Linked DNA regions of Oreochromis niloticus. The protein of the gene in region 1 purifies or fractionates together with the protein of each later gene. This does not show direct contact. Links are inferred from orthologs where the notes say so. Each region holds a gene or a part of one and is shown in the gene's direction. Other genes may lie near its edges. The genes, in order: rreb1a and histone deacetylase 2.

Region 1 (8,412 bases):
TGCTACTGATGATGATGACAGACAAGACTTTGGGTGTTTCCCTACTCTCGTTCTGGGTGAATCACTTTATCAGGAATGACGGAATAAATGATTCACGTGGAAATCATGTGAAAATGTGAGTTCAAAAAGAAGTTTGAGGAATTTTCCTGTGTGGACACCCTCTGTGGATGAGCGAGTGGACCTAGAGCCCAGAAGGGGGAAGGGTGGGCAGCTCTGTGCAGTGAGGAGAATAACTCCTGCTGAAAGGAAAAGCCATGCTCGTTTCCTCTGGGAATCTGGTTCAGGTGATGAATCAGCATCTGCTGAGCTTCAGGAGATTCTGTCTAACTTAAACCTGTTGGTGTTAAAACTGCCCCCTGACGTCCTGAGAGGGAAACTAAATGAGCCCAGCCTACCAGCAGAAACAGAAATATCAAAAAGCTTTTCAATTTCTACTTTTGTCTGATGACCTTTATTCTAATGCAGCATTTATGTGGTTTTCTTTTAAAACCAAAGAACGTTCTTGGATCCATTCTTAGTGTTCGGTCTACGTGCGCCTTTCTATTAATTACTGTAAATAAAAAATGGAACAAGCTGGATGTTTGTGAAATAAGAGGCAGCTCCATAGCACAGGTACACTCTTGTTTGTTTTCCTTAGAAAATGATACTCATTACACTTATTGTCCCACTGCTGCCCCACCTCCAGTGCCATCATGTCACAACAGTTTAAGGGCCACTGCTTTAATACATCAGCCCCACCCAACATACCCCAGAGGAGGTACATTGTTCTCTGAGGTCCTTAACAGTGGAGTGATTTGCACAAAGGTCAGTGCCGCCTTGAAATCGCGGAGCAGGTTTCTGTAGTGGAGAGTTTCAGCCTCATAAAGTTCAGGCTCTGTGAGGGTTCAACTCTGAGCACTGAGTGTCAGAGATCGCTCGTGTTTTATGACCTTTAGCTTGGTATGAAGCGCGATGCTCCACACACTGTATGTAGCCAACGTGATGTCAACCACTGATTTTGGAGGCTACGTTTTGAAGCCTCAGAGTTTGTGACGGTGCCATTGACGGTGTAAATCGTGGACATAACCACTGTGGAAGTGCCTAAAAACCTGCATTCTGTCTGAGAGCCACCAGATGGGGATAGCTGTAGTTTCGAAAAGATTTCCAGTCCTGTACAAGTTTATGGAAATACACTTTTTTTTTGCTGAGACACTCACTTTGTGTCATATTGAATAAAATACTGAGCCTGTTTCATAAATTTAGATCATACCATGTTTCTAAATGGACGATTATCTTTTTCCACGGAACTGCAAGCTCATTGGCTGATGAATTGTCAGTCATAAGTCACTAACCTAATCTTCCTCATCACATCTGGATTTTTCCTACCAAGATGGCTCAAGCACAGTGGGTCACACTATAACTATCTCCATATTTTACAATGGCTTTAGTTGGTATATTGTTTTCTTGGAGCCGGAATGAGCATATTTGGAAAAATAATGGACTGCTGAGTCATTAGCTAATGCTAGCTAGCTTTGTTTGCTAGCTTTAGCCATAAAGTGCATGGTTATATCACACTGACACAGATACCCGCTAATAACATTTCCATTCATATACATTACCTTTATTAGGAAGAAAAGAAGCTATGGTTCGTTAGCTAAATTTGTTAAGTTATGTTACATAAATCTCTCACTAATAGTCCATTAGCTTGAAAATCTCAAGCTAACCCACTAGCCACCAGTGTTGCCAACTTAGCGACTTTGTCGCTATATTTAGCGAGTTTTCAGACCCCCTTAGCGACTTTTTTTCTAAAAAGTGACTAGCGACAAGTTACACAATGTAACTCCACCAGTGTGCCAATTTCATGTCACTTTTGCCAGTCCAAGCCCAGATAAAGGAGTAGGGTTGGAATTGTGACATTAAAAAAAAAACAATAATTGCTAAAAGACATTTAATTTGTAGTTGTAAATAAATTCTAAATGCATTTAGGACGTTTTTAACTCACTTTATGTCGCTTCCATGATGTTATTTTTCTCTCCTACAAGGTAGGTTACAATTACATTAGCATGACCAATTATGCAAATTAGGTGATGACGTCATTTAGCGACTTCTAGCTACTTTTAGGACAGCCAATAGCGATTTTCCTTACTGAGGAGTTAGCAACACTGCTAGCCACATCAGCCCCAGTATTTTGGATTAATTAAGGTAAGATATGTTAGCATAAGATAAGTTTTATTTATTCCATCTTCAAAAAATAAGTTTTTTTTTACATGGTTAGAAATTAAGCTAAAGACTACAAAAATCCTTAATGAGTAGAATGGCATGTAGCTCATAAGGTAGAACGCATACCACAGAACTATCGTAATAGTCAAAGTAAACACAAAATTAAATAATTTGTTTTTAGGTGTATAGTTTTGCTGTGCTGCATAGCTTGTTATTGTTGTATTGTTGTATTGGTCCATGTTAGCAGACAAGCTAGTGTTAGCTAGCTGTAATCAGAAACTCTCTCATTAGACTGAATGATTTTGAGCATTTGGGTAAAACTAGCTTTCTTCTGGCTAATGTTAGCCAATGTTAGCATACCTGTTACACCAGACAGCTTGCTAACCCATGTAGCAGTTAGCAGGCTAACTTTAGTTTGAGTCCTGACTAAACTGTAAGATCAACAGTAAATTTCTGGGATTAAAAAGTACCAGTATGATATTATCTTCAGGGATTTTGATTATGAGCCACGAAGTTATAGCCATCAAAGCAGATTCAAGATGAGCTACGACACTCTGAACTTCATGTCTGTATAAAATTGAGCTTATTTGAATAAAAAACGTTTTACTGTGAAAAACAAGTACTCTACCCATAATCCTAAATCACTGTTGCCATAGAAACTTTTAAACCCATGAATTTCTGTTTGCTTTGTGACCGTGAAACTTCAGAAGCAGCCCAGGCAATGATTACAGCCAAGAATAAAGCACCGTGCTATAATGATAGCTAGCAGTGCTATCAATATGACGCATTACTGAAGTTACATGACATTTTTCAGTAACACAGTAATGTAACATGTAACTGTACTACATTCAGGTCTCCTCATTTTCTTAAATCACCATGGTGATGGCTTTAAAGTGTCTTTGGGCTGGTTAACATCTTCTTTTTTCTTTATGTTGTGAGTGTTGTGTTGACACTTACACATCTTATATGTGTCCTCATTAGGACAGGGGTCTGTGTGAGCGAGCCTCAGGTTTATACTGGTAACTGTAGCAATGCATTTCAGACCATATTACAGACTCACACCAAAGTAACGAGTAAGTGGAAAGGGTTACTTTCTCCAGGAAGTCATTAAGTAACACTATGCACTACTTTTAAAAAGTAATATCTCACCCCAATACTGGTAACTAGCCTACACGCACACATACACAACAAATAATGAAGAGGATTAAAAGTGCCAAGGTGAATGTGAGAGTTGCACTGCATTGTGGGAGTAGTTCCTTCAGCTGTAAAAGTAATCATGTACACAGACTTTGCCTCTTTTAGTTACTCTTTTTTGATCCAAATCAAACTTTTTGTGTTCATGATTCACCTCGTGGCTAGTTGGCTTCATTTTAGGGTTACACTTCGAATGTCAGGACTTTCTTAAGGGTTTTACTTCCAGAGCCTCCCTGTAGAGCTCTGTACCTTCAGTGTTTATTCCTGTGCTGGGCTGCCCGATGGTTCGCTCCGGCTGAGGTTATTCGTGTGTGAGGATGTAGTGGGGTCTCGAGGCACTCGGGAGCTCACATAAACGTCACATCCTTTAGATTTTCATGGAAAGTTGACACACAGCATCCACAGGGAAATCAGATTTAAGTTTACAATACTTAAGAAATAGAAACAAAGAAGCATTTAACTCATAATCAGTAGACTCAGTGCATTGGAGTTCTTTGAAATGAACTTTAATGTGAAGTGAAAATGTTTTAGTTTGTAATTTTACATAATCCTGTCCAAACTAAAACATGTGCATGTTGAAAATAAAACATGGGATTATTGAGTTTGAGCTAATCACCACTATCGCGGGTCACATGACTCCTGCTGCGTGTCCATGGATGGAGCACAGAGGTACCTGCACGTGATTTAGTTCGACTTCAACGTCTTTATGTGAACTTTCGAGTTTCTCCCCCACGCGCATTTCTTCGCTTCATCCCGGAAAACAAAGTGACTGCTTCACCAACACCTCCCTGGAAACGGTAGCACAGTCTTCCACAGCCACCTCCCCAGCTTCTGGCTGACCCTATGCATCCTCCCTCTTTGAAATCGCGTGCAGAGCTCTCGCGATAGATGAGGCAGCTGCGCGTGTAGCGTGTGTGGGTTTAAAAGGATGGTTTCTTATCTTTTTAGCCCCCGAAACTCCGCGTAAATGATAAAGGAGCGGCGTAAAAGCGGGTTTCTTTGAGAGACTCTGAAGCGAGGCAGGAAACGAGGGGACTTTCTGGCTGTGAGAGGACACGCTGGGTGAAAATGTCAATACTTTGAGGAAGAAAGTTGCTTAAAAGTGAATATTTCCGCGCATTAAAGCAGAAATCCGCAGCGCACGCGAGTTAAATTGCGCACCGCGAGGCCTCTGCGGACTTTTGAAGTTTATTTTTTGGTTTCAGAGCTCTCAGGTGGGATCGTTTCCTGTTCCATCACGGCTGGAATAAGTAATCCAGTAACGGCTGTCCGTGTGTCTGTGCGTACTGACTGAGATGCTTGGTGGCCACGTCCCCTTGGAAACTGGAGACAACACGTGATGAGCTTTACTTATCAGGTTTAGCGAGAGAGTGTGCGCAAGAGCTACAGAGAGAGAGAGACCGAGAGAGGGAGGAAGAGGAGGAGGGAGCTGGGAGTTAAAGGAGTTTAAAGTATAAAACATCTCCAAAGCGACATTTTCCTCTCCACGAGTCGACTTTTTTCTTTCCTCCTCGGGAGGGAAGAGAGGAAGACAAGCAGCAGCAGCACGGGAGGAGGAGGAGGAGGAGGTGGAGGAGGGGAGGGGAGAAAAGGAGGAGGAGGAGAAGCCGGAGTAAAGTTTGTCCAAGTTTGCTCATCCATTCGGAATACGCCATTTTGAGTTCTCTCCTCTGCGGAGCAACTTTGCAGCCTCTCTCTCCCTTTCTTTTTTTTTTCTTTCATCACCTTCATCATCCCCGATCACCGCCGTTCATCTACCATCATCATCATCAGCCCCCCCCATCACCACAACCACCATCATCCTCGCCACGATGTCTCGGCGCAAGCAGCCCAACCCCAACAAAGTGAAGCGTAAGTGTCCTTTTCGTCTCCATCGCTGAGTTTTGGTGCTGTGCGAGTGTCTGCGCAGGCTCCCCGCGCTGTTTGCGCCTCTCGGGGAGAACTTTGCGCCTGTTTGGGCTGCCAGGGGTGAAGTTTGAGCGGAGATGTGGAGACGGTAAGGGTGGCGTTACTACTTTTCTCTCCTCTCTGGGCTGCTTCCTAGTTTGATGCGCATCCAAGCGGTGGAATTCAGTCGTGTGTGTGTCTCTTCCTCATTCAGCAACTTGTTGTTTTTCGACTTTTGGTGCAACTTTATCGCCCCGTGTGCACGTTTAGGGCAGTTATTCGGCGGTTTTTGCCCCGCGGGGAGGGTGTTAGGAGGCGTAGGGAGGTGGGGGGGGAGGTCAAAGTCTGCAGCTCGCAGCCGGAGTCGAGCATCCATATCTCGGATGCACTTTGGTCGAAGCCTCGGGGCTAGTGGCCATGTGTAAAACTAAGCGCTCAAGCGAACGGCAACCGACGGAGTACTTCCTCAAAGACACTTCTTCAAAGTAAAACAACCTGTTGCACACGGAGAACCGTAAGGGTTACCTCACGTTTGGTGTTAGTAAGCGCTCTGACCTGAAATTGATTCAGACTTCAGCTTTGAAGCTAATGGTTTTAACTGTGGTTGAGTTTGCTGATGCTTTTCTTTGTGAATGATGGTTTTCTCACCGTGCCGTCTGGCTCTAGATGCTTTTTATGGGCTTGTGAAGGCACTGAAGGTCTTATATAGGTGCTAATACATCTAAAGCAGGTTTAATGGTAAAATTATTCATTTCATGGTGAAAATCACATCACATATTGCTCTTATATTTAACTGTGTGTGAAAAAAGTCACAAAAGCCTCCTTTACTTAGTATAATGTACACACATCCGCAAACGTGTGGATGTGAGTTTAAGTCTGTTGGCTTAATAAAAGAAAATATAGCTTTTATTTTGGTGGCTCGACTTCCGCTAATGGCAGCGAGCTCGACGCCAGCGCGATGACCTTGCCCAGACATATTTAGGTAGAAAGGGACCCCCGTTCATTCACGAACCGGCCCAACACGGCGGCGAGGCGGCCGAACTCGCCGGCCCGCTCCACCTGCGCCAGTTTTTGCGGCAGTTGGGCGACTTTTCGCCGCGTTCCCGACACTTTTCCACCGTCTGTGGTTACGCGCAGCAGCAGCATCGACGTGACGCCTGTTGCATCCACCTTCTCCTCCTCCTCCCCCGTCCTCGAGCTCCGTCTTTTCTGTCTTTCGACATCATCCTCGGCTCTAACTTCCATTTTAAACGGTAACCACCGGGCGCCCCCCCGTTTTAACCGCCCCCCAGCCCCAAAGCGTCGACTTGGAGAACTTTTTCGCGGCGCTGTTAGCCGTTAGCCTCCTCGTCGTGTTTTTTTTTTTTTTTCCTTTTTTTCCGCGTTGGTACACGACGGAGGATGCTGGCCGGGCTGTTAAATAACTCCCATAACGCGGTTTTACTGTGTCAAAGAGGCGCTGTTATCGGTGTCCGGGTCAATGATTGATGGCCGCGGAGTTCGAGGAGGGAGAGGAGATGGACCGATGGCGTTTTTCTCGGTCTCAGGCTGGACTGGTTAGATAATGGTTGCTAGGGATTTTCTCTCTCTCTCTCTCCATGTTGGCCCAGTGTCTCTCTACCTCTGTGCACCTCCCTGCTGAGGAACTTTAACCTCACTGTAAGAGGAGTCTGTCATTGTTTAAAGCACAGAGGCCATCGCGGCTCTCAGATACAACACAATTTTATACACAATAAATGGACTTTTATTCTAATTACATTGAATACAGCGACTCTGTGGTGACTTCATGGCTTTAACTGTAACTTTTACTCCCTTTAAATCTTTAAAAAGTTTTGGCTTGTATGTTTGGAGCACAGTCCAACAGTAGTTAATTGTGTCCACAGTTCATCAAAAGTTGAATAAAGTCGCTTTAAAGTGGGTTTGTATTCATGTGAGTGGGTTTGTTTTTGGTAGTTTAGTTTCTGGAGAATAAATCCTTTTAATTTTCCTTCTGTTTAACGTTTTCTCCAATTATACTGAATAAAATGGACCCATTTTATGGTTCGATGTAGGGTGTTGGGTGTAAATTAAGTTATAGAAGAAAAAAGTTGAATTAAGCTCATTTTGTTGACGTTTGTGTATATTTTTTTGCGTTTAGCTCAGCCTATGACTGCTGTCGGCGCAGTTTGGCTAAGCTGGCTAACTTTCAGTGCTTTTTACAAAGTTTCGTAAGAATACAAAAAGTGCTTTTACTCTAATTACTTAAACAGTACAGAGTTTTTGGCAATGTGTTGTGAGTGATTAATAAGAAATACGTCCTTCTGTAGTTCAGCATCCTCAGGGGAGTTTGGGTGGTGTCCCACTTTACTTGAACCTGTTTATTGACTTTTGTTAGTATGTTTTGGCTTTAACATAATCCCATCATCAGTAATTAAGGCCATGATTCACTTAAAGTGGGTTTATGGTTGTTCCTGTGGGGGTTTGCTGTAAGTTTAGCTATTTTTTTCTTTCATACTCGTTTTGGGGCAGTTTTTGTTTTTTGTTTGTTTTTTTGTTTGTTTGTTTTTGTTTTGTTTTGTTTTGTTTTAAACAAATCCATCATAAATTGAGGAACAGCGAGTCTTTGGTGACTTTATCACTTTCTGGAGGACTTTCAAGCTAACTTTTACCCCCTCCCTCTTCATGTAGTCTGGATTGACCAGTAGCTTGTTTGGCTAATGTTAGCGACCTTTACGCGTGTATTATTGCTTCGTTTTGTAACTTTTCTTCAAACATTTTGCTGTTTAACGCACTCCTGTAACGTCTGTTTGTTGCTGCAGTCCAGCTCAGCTTATACAGACACACTTTAAAGTGGATTTATGGGTTTCATTAGGGACTTTGGCTTGTTTCAATGGCAGTTAGCGATGCTCTGTTTCCATATTTGTCAAGCTGTAACTATTACTGAGTTTTGGCAAGATGATTGTGACTTTACTTCTATAATTACAATCTTTAGTGCTCTGGTAGCTCTCTAAAAGGAAATTATGGTGATTTTGTAACACTTTTACCCACAATTGCTTTGGTTTTTTTCCACATTTTCTGAGAAAGTGACATTTCTCTTTGTTTTATCTATAGAAATGCATTTGTTCACTACATGCTCACACTTCCACAGAGTGT
Region 2 (8,661 bases), on another chromosome or scaffold:
AGCCTGTCCCGGTGCAACACCACCATGCGCCCTGGGCCTGGCATACGGATACGGTACACCACTTCCGTTAGCCGCTCCACGACCTCCGCCGTCCCTTGCCAGTGACTGCACAGTTTGGGGGACACTCCTCTCTTGCGAACCGGGCAGTACACCCAAACCTTGTCGCCAGGCACAAAAACCTCCCCCCGGCACTTGGTGTCGTAGGCTCTTTTCTGTCGTACTCCGGCGCTGGCCTGGGCCTGGCGGGTGTAGTCGTGAACCACCTGCAGCCGCTCCCTCAGCCTCCTGTAGTAGTCCATCTCTGGCCCACCGTCAATCTCCGGCTCGGGGGGGACCCAAACACCAGATCCACAGGCGTCCGGAGCTCCCGCCCAAACATCAAAGCGGCAGGCGTGCACTGGCTGGACTCCTGAACCGCAGTCCGATACGACCAAAGGACCAGGGGCAGATGTTGGTCCCAATCCCGCTGGTGGCGGCTGGTGAGAATGGCGAGCTGGGTAGCCAGTGTGCGGTTAAAACGCTCAACCAAGCCATCGCTTTGCGGGTAGAGCGGTGTGGTTCTTGTCTTCTCCACCCCCAGCCGCCGGCAAATCTCCCCAAAGACCTTCGATTCGAAGTTGCGCCCCTGGTCACTGTGGAGCTCAGCTGGGACCCCAAAACAGGTGAACATCTCCTCCACCAGCCTCTCTGCCGTCGTCGTCACACTCTGGTCCGGTACCGCGTAGGCCTCCGGCCACTTTGTGAAATAGTCCATCGCCACCAGCACGTACTGGTTCCCTGACTCCGTAACGGGGAAAGGCCCTAGGACGTCCACTCCCACTCGCTCCATCGGGGCCCCCACCAAGTACTGCTGAAGGGGGGCAGTGGAGCGTTGAGTGGGGCCCTTCTGCGCCGTGCAGGTGTCACAGCAGTGCACGTGAAGTTCCACATCCCGTCGACAGCCAGGCTAGTAGAACCGTCCCCTGAGGCGGCGGAGAGTTTTGGCGTTCCCATAGTGGCCTGCCCCCACCGAGCCGTGGACAAGCTCAAGCACCTGCGACCGCAGCGACCGAGGCACCAACAGCTGCAGGAGATCTCTGCCCTGACCGGGGGCCTGCCATCTCCGGTACAGGAGGCCGTCGTGGGTCTCCAGGTTGTTGTGCTGGGAGTAGTAGGCCTTCACCTCGGGCTCCTGACCCGACACCCCCGTCCAGTCTGGGCGTTGCGCCGCCTCCAGCCAGGCCCCCACCTGAACCAACGTCGCGTCGGCCTCCTGCTCCCGCTTCAGCTGCTGCATTGTCAATGGGAGCCACCCCCCTCCGCTGGCTGTGGCCTGAGCAGTAGCCACCCCCAGCACCTCCTGGGCCCGCTCCTCCTGTTGCAGACAGTAGCGGCACTCGACGGCCATGCAGGGCCGTCTGGAGAGGGCATCAGCGTTGCCATGCTGCCGACCTGCCCGATGCTGGATCTCAAAGTCGTAGCCCTGAAGGACCTCCAGCCAGCGGGCCACCTGACCTTCTGGGTGTTTGAAATTCAGGAGCCAGGTCAGAGATGCATGGTCAGTGCGCAGGAGGAACCGGCAGCCGTGCAGGTATGGCCGGAAGTGCCGCACCGCTAGCACTACGGCCAGCAGCTCCCGCCGGGTCACGCAGTAGTTGCTCTCGGCTCGCCCCAGAGCACGGCTGAAGTATGCCACCACTCGTTCTCCAGCCTCGCCCTGCTGGGAAAGGACCGCCCCGACTCCTACATTGCTAGCGTCAGTGTCCACAATGAAAGGTTGCCGGGCGTCGGGGTAGGCCAGAACTGGGGCTCTGGTGAGGGCCTCCTTCAGCTGTGCAAAAGCCGCAGTGCAGGCATCACCCCAGCCAAACAGCTGGCACTTGTCAGTCAGGCGGTGGAGGGGGCTGGCCATCATCGCAAACCCCTTGATGAACCGACGGTAGTAGGAGGCTAGGCCCAGGAAGCTCCGCAGTTCTTTGACGTTCGAGGGAGTCGGCCAGTCCCTGACCGCAGCCACCTTTGTGGAATCGGTGGCGATACCTTGAGCGCTGATCACATGGCCCAAGAACGTAGTCTCTCTCGCCAACACCCGGCACTTCGCAGGGTTGAGCCGCAGCCCAGCTCGACGGATGGCGCTGAAGACCTCGCTCAGGTGAGACAGTGCACTGTCGAAGTCGCCACCGTGCACCAACAGGTCATCCAGGTACACAACACAGCGGCTACGAGGGATGTTCACGAGCACCCTCTCCATCAGCCTCTCAAACGTCGCTGGCGCATTGCAAAGCCCAAATGGCATGACCCTGAACTGCCACAGCCCCTGTCCAATGGTGAATGCAGTCTTAGGCCTTGCTTCGGGGGCTAGCTCCACCTGCCAGTAGCCACTGCGTAGGTCGAGGGAGCTGAACCAGCTGGAGCCGGTAACGTAATCCAGGGCCTCGTCGATCCGTGGAAGCGGGTACGAGTCCTTCTTGGTGACTGCGTTCAGACAGCGAAAATCCACGCAGAACCTCAGGCTGCCATCCTTCTTCACACCAGGACTACGGGTGCCGCCCATGGGCTGTTGGACGGCTCGATCACCCCAGCCGCAGCCATCTCACGGATCTTTTCCTCCGCCACCTGCCGTTTGGAGAGGGGCAGCCGGTGCGGGTGCAGACGGATGGGTTGAGCAGAGCCGGTGTCGATGGTGTGCTGGACCAGCCCCGTCTGCCTGCAGTCTTTGTCACTGGCGGCAAAGATGTCCACATTCTCGTCCAGGAGGCACCTCAACCGCTGGCGCTGGTCAACGTTGAGACCTACGCTGCTGCGCTGCCACAGGTCACCAACAGCCTCGGTTGTCTCGGTCGAGGGAGATTTGTCGGGCTGAGAGGCCGGGGCTGAGGTGAGTAGAGATGACCCGGAGCCACCAGCACCCGAAATCTGCTGAGCGGCAGCCGCCCGACGCCTGTCTCGTCTGGCTCTGGTTCCCTCTGCTCCCTGCTTTTGACCGCACTGGAGGGCAAGAGTCTCTGTGCCAAGAGTGATAGCCCGCTTTGCGGTGTCGACGCAGGCCCCCCAGTGGGTCAGCAGATCAAGGCCGATGATGCACTGGTCTTGAATGTCAGCAAGCCAGAAGTCATGCACCAGCTCCAGATCCTTCACTCGGACCCGCAACGGTTTCTTCCCCCGCATATCAGCCCTCTCACCCGTCACCGTCATCAGCTGGGTGTCGGTGGGCGACCAACCCTTCACCAATGGCCCGGACGTTCCAGGGAGCACGCCAGGTCGTATCAGGGAAATGGTGGGGCGAACATCTCCTCCATGTTTGGGGGGGGCACCTGCTGGTTAGGTTGCGAGGTGAACACCAGCTCGGCCCTCTCAGCCTCAAGGAGCGCCTCACAGAGAGTTTGAGGCATGGCCAGGCGGACGTGTTGGCATAGTCGCTCTGGAAAACGTCCTCGCAGAAAAGCATGCAGGCTAAGCTCCTCATGGGCTGCTGCTGGGAACTCCGGGTAGCCACGACGAGCATGCAGCAACACGTCCACTGCAAAGGTGCCCAGGCTCTCCCCCGGCCGACGGCTCCGGTTGGTCAGCTGCTCTCTGCTCTGATCAGTGGAGTGCCGCTGCCCGAATCGCCTCTCGAGTGCTATGGTGAGGGCCTGGAGCTCATGCTGCTCCGACGGGGCTAGGTCAAGGAGTACCTGCAGTGCATCTCCTTCCAATGCTAGCGCTAGGTGTGTAGCAGCCTCTTCGTCGCTCCAGACATTATGCCTCGCGGCTAGCCGTACTTGTGAGAGGTAGGGCTCTAGCGGGGTTAGCCCGTTGTATTTCGGTACCTTAGCTGGCGTTGCAGGCATCACTGCTCGCTGTCGGGGGCTCGGTGTGTCGGTCGACAGAGGCAGCCCATGAAGCATTGCCCCAGCGTCTGTCGCGATGGGCCGCCGCTGCGGTGCGCTCGCGCCGTCGGGACCCGTCGGGGGACTTACATGGCTGCTCGCTTCCTCTCTCCTCGATCGCCAGCTTCCCAAGCAGCGGATGCTCTCCTCGACAGCTTGCTCCAGCCTCCGAATGTCTCTCTCCATTATGGCGAGGGTGAGCAATCCCACTTCTGACACCAATGTGGCGAGCTCAGACACGGAGGAGACAGAGGTTTCTTTGGGAGCACCCGTTTATTTACAACCGGCCCAGAACACTGCCGCTACCTCCCTCCTCAGCGCGGCAACAACAACATAAGAACAAAAAAGGCGCTCTCTCCCCGAGAGAGCGCGTCACTCATCACTATGACAACAGAAAACAGAACTATAATAACAAAACCCCTTAACAACCCTGACCCGCTACAATATCAATATTTTTTTTAAAGTAAAAATGTCTGCATTTGGAAAATGCAGGGGCAGTGGAGCAAAAAATTTACACACTACACATATAGTCATATATATCAGAGATTTCTACATTGGCATTGATTGCGTTGTATCTGAACAGTACTGTACAGGATTACCGGTGCACAAAGAATTTGGAACCACTTATGTCAAGCTATGAGAGGATTCTGTCTGCCATGATTTTCTTTAAGTGGACATTTCCCCAACTTTCACTATATAGATATATAATGTTCAGATATCAGACTTGTTAAAATGTGGTCTGGTTCTCAAAAGCCTTCCACTCAGATATAGCTCCATAACAACACTTTAACTGTGGATAAGAAGAAGAACTGATTAGTACTCTTGTACAACCTGATAAGTTAACAGCCCCAGCTCTGCCTTAAGTCCATGTGCAAATCTATACTGGCTTTTTTGATATTACTCTCTTAAAATTCCTTTAAAGCGCAGAATAAAATCAGGGCATTGCCCAAAAATGACTTTTGTGATATCTAGCACAATGCAGGAAATCAGAAAATTCTCTCTGGGATAAATATGCAACCAAACCAGGTGAAAACTGGAGAAAAAAAAATCTAATTCTAATTCTATTGCATGGTAGTAAGAAATTAATTAATGTAAAGGATAAAGCGGTGGAACTGAATTTTATGAAGCGCGTTTTTACCATGTTTCACACATCCTTGAAAGTCCATTTTACCATACTCTGGGTTGAGTGGGACTCCTCGCGGTGGGGTAAGTGGCCTACCGAAGTTGTCTGACCCGCCCCTCCCCGCCGAAGTTGCGCCTCCCATTCACCGACTTTCCGCCGTGTGTAGTTATGTGTTGATGCCGTCCATCCCATCTTCTGTCTGCTCAAGCACATTCAAACCAACTTTTTATTTCTAGAGGAACTTTTAAAATGGCTTACACGACCGCAGGTGGGACAAAGAAGAAGGTCTGCTACTACTACGACGGTATGGGACATCCTGAGCGTGTGAATGGGGAGCCCAAACTGAGCCATCTGGCAGGCTAACGCTAGCCAGCTAGTCAGTGTAGCTGCTGGTGAATGGTGAAAATAACACTAGCAAGCTAACGAGTAGGCGCTAATGACCAGCGTTTGAAAGGTCTCCGCGGTGCAAAGAGAGTATTCGTGTGTTAACTGTTAAAATGAGTAAAAGTTTTAAAAAATCACCTTACGTAAACCGAGCCAGAGAAAAGAGGAGGGCTTCGGTTAAATTAATGTTGAGAATTAGCGACACAAGCATTCATTGTCACGATTGTATAACTTTGTGCACGGGCTTTGTACACCTCGTTACCTCTGTCAAATCAAAATGATTAGGAACTGATGAGTCGACGTCAGAGTTACATTCGTGAAAATAATAAAGCAAAATGTGCCACTGTTGCACACAATTAAGTGCTCAGGCCTTATTAGAGCGTATCACCGTGTTGTCTAACATCACACTATCTCATAAGAGAAACCACTTATTTGTATTCCTCGTGTACAGGGAACATAGTTACAGTGTCTTGTCAGAGGTTTGCAGAGACTCGCAGTAAAAACTAACTTTGTTCACACATAGCCCTGCATTCAGTTTACATGTACTAGAACTCAACCGTGCATTCAGTTTTCCTCTGAATGTTTAACAGTCAAATGCTGTGTTATTGTTGTTTTTATGTTGCTTTTTATGTCTCACTAAACACAACAACCCAGTTGTTTTTTTCTCTTTTCTACTGTCCGTGCTATTCCTCTGAGGTTGCATTTGCTCTTGCACCCGTGTACTGGGTGGTTGGCTACAGCCTCGTGAACTTTATACTTTTTAATAATATTGGCAACTGAGATCAGGAGTTCATTCATAGTCTGAAGAAGGTGTAGTGAGCTATTGTAGGATAACTGCATGTGCAGGTAAAATTGAAGTAAACATCACTGTTTGACCTGCACAGTCTTGTGATCTACTTCTTGGTGGTAAGCAAACATAGTTTTCCAGTTACATTAAAAATGCTTGAATGATACTTATGGTATTACACCGTGACTGATCTTGCTGTTGTTGCCCGCTGTTGTTGTTTTGAGAAAAACTCTGTTCGCTTTCCTTTTCTGTTATTTGCTGTTCTAGCATTATGCTTGTGTCATGCTAGTTGTTAAGTTAGCAGCCACAGAATATCTCAAAGATTTAAAACAGCTAATACCTTAACATATGGGGGTTTTATTTGGTCTTTTTGTTTGGTGTTTGTGGTCACTATTAGAACAGGAACAGCCAATAATTAAGAAGGGGGAAAAAAGAAGCACAGTGCACACATTTTGCATTTTGTCAATTTTGATGAAAAATACAAAATGTGCTTTTTTATAGAATATGTAAATGAGTGACTGTGACTTGGAGTGTAAAATCTCTTTTGTTGGTCAGAGAGACCCTGAAAAGCATCCATTTTTATTTTCATTCACAGCTTCAATTAATAATTATTATCGGATGGAAATGTGTTTCTCATCTCGTTCCTTTTGTCTTTGCAGGTGACATAGGAAATTATTACTATGGACAGGGGCACCCCATGAAACCACATCGTATCCGGATGACCCACAACTTACTTCTGAACTATGGACTGTACAGGAAGATGGAGGTCTATGTATGTTTTCCAAGCATGTGACACTAAGCATACCGTAAGTTCTGGCCTTCCTTGTTGTAGTTTCCACCCAGCTGGTTTGTCTTGTGTTTCAGAGGCCACACAAAGCCACTGCAGACGAGATGACAAAATATCACAGTGATGACTACATCAAGTTCCTCCGATCCATACGACCAGACAACATGTCAGAGTTCAGCAAACAGATGCAGAGGTGTAAGTCATCGTGTCCTCTTTGGGACATTACAGAATTTTGTAAACTATTCCAAGTACGGAATACAAGGAGCTCCTCTGCTCTTCTGTTTCCATTCATACTGCTCAAACTATTTACTCAGCCAAAGAGTGTAATTGTCTGAGATGTGAACACTGAACAGTCAGGAAGTTGTGGAGTTTTAGGTTATGGTGTATGAGTAAGAAAGTTCTGTAGTAGGAATTTTGAACACCTTCCTGTTTTGGGGTTTCCTATTTATTTATGTATTTATTTACTCTGCAGTCAATGTTGGGGAGGACTGTCCGGTATTCGATGGCTTGTTTGAGTTCTGCCAACTGTCTGCTGGTGGTTCAGCTGGTAAGTTGTGCTAATGATGAATCAGATGTTGCTAAGCGGTCATATAAAAGGTCTTGATAAGTCAGTTGAGTCAAGCTATCTGAATGATTATGTTAGAGATATACTGTAAAATAGATACTCAGATCCTAACTGATACTAAAACTGATGATCGGATTAGTTACTCATTTATAGCAGTATCAGTGCCCACAGTGCTGTCTTTGCCTCTGCCAGCTGACACACTACTTCCCACAGAGCCACAGCAGACAAGCAGGAACATGCACCACGTGATGACATTCACAACACTCACAATATTTTGTGAGGAACATCAGGAAGTCATAAACCTCCTGTTTCAGCGACATTGTACCTATCTGTAACAACAGTCCTGCCTATTTGTAACATTAATAGACGCTGTCAATTTAACAGAATAACACAATTATTTGTATCTAAAAAGTCTTGTGGTTCTCAGTCATTTCTACATTGTATTTGGAAGGATAATATTCCTAGAGACATGACTGTCATTGGAATAACAGGTCAGGATTGAATCCCCTACAAGACCCTATAATAATGAATACTAATCTTGTTTTGCGTAACTTTGTGAACCACCTTTGTAATCCTGAGGATTTGGTGGGACTCCTGAAGTTCCCTCACTAAACCCCAAATCCTGCTTTGTGGTACAAGCTACAAGCACTGTGTTTGTTGACAAGTCATCAACCTGAGTAGAATGAAACATGATCTGTATAGTTAGCCCCAACCATTTTTATAAATAGTCCTCTATAAAAGGACAGACAGAAAGCTGTAACTGCTCATGTAGGACCTCATTACTGTCAGTCAAATCCTTGAGAAGCAAAGTCAGTGCAGTGGTCATTAGACTGGGGCAGCAAATTCTTTTTATTGTCACCTGTTCCTGGAGAGCACAGTTACAGGAACAAGTTCTTGGCTTTCTGTTGTCCAGCTGTTTCAGTGCCAGCCTTGACTAACAATTTTTCAGGTTATGACAACAAAGTTAGACTAAGTGATTAACTCATCAGATATATATCAGTTTCTTTACAAACCACATAATCAAACATGTTTCCTGTTCTGCACAGCTGGCTCAGTGAAGCTGAACCGACAACAGACAGACATTGCAGTGAATTGGGCAGGAGGACTCCACCATGCAAAGAAATCTGAGGCCTCAGGGTTCTGTTACGTCAATGACATTGTGCT

The links.
Region 2: the proteins of rreb1a (region 1) and histone deacetylase 2 purify together in Homo sapiens (affinity purification with mass spectrometry; 4 studies listed by BioGRID and IntAct, with this or other methods). This does not show direct contact. The link is inferred for Oreochromis niloticus from reciprocal best matches to the Homo sapiens genes RREB1 and HDAC2.

The regions. Positions count from the first base shown.
Region 1 is NC_031974.2:1,762,992-1,771,403, reverse strand, and holds the start of rreb1a (ras-responsive element-binding protein 1), read left to right. Parts: upstream 1-4,974; 5' UTR 4,975-5,204; coding exon 5,205-5,244; intron 5,245-5,250; exon of another isoform or gene 5,251-5,389; intron 5,390-8,412.
Region 2 is NC_031980.2:30,565,413-30,574,073, forward strand, and holds the start of histone deacetylase 2, read left to right. Parts: upstream 1-5,084; 5' UTR 5,085-5,223; coding exon 5,224-5,278; intron 5,279-6,804; coding exon 6,805-6,917; intron 6,918-7,009; coding exon 7,010-7,127; intron 7,128-7,404; coding exon 7,405-7,479; intron 7,480-8,543; coding exon 8,544-8,661. UniProt on the Homo sapiens protein: Histone deacetylase that catalyzes the deacetylation of lysine residues on the N-terminal part of the core histones (H2A, H2B, H3 and H4).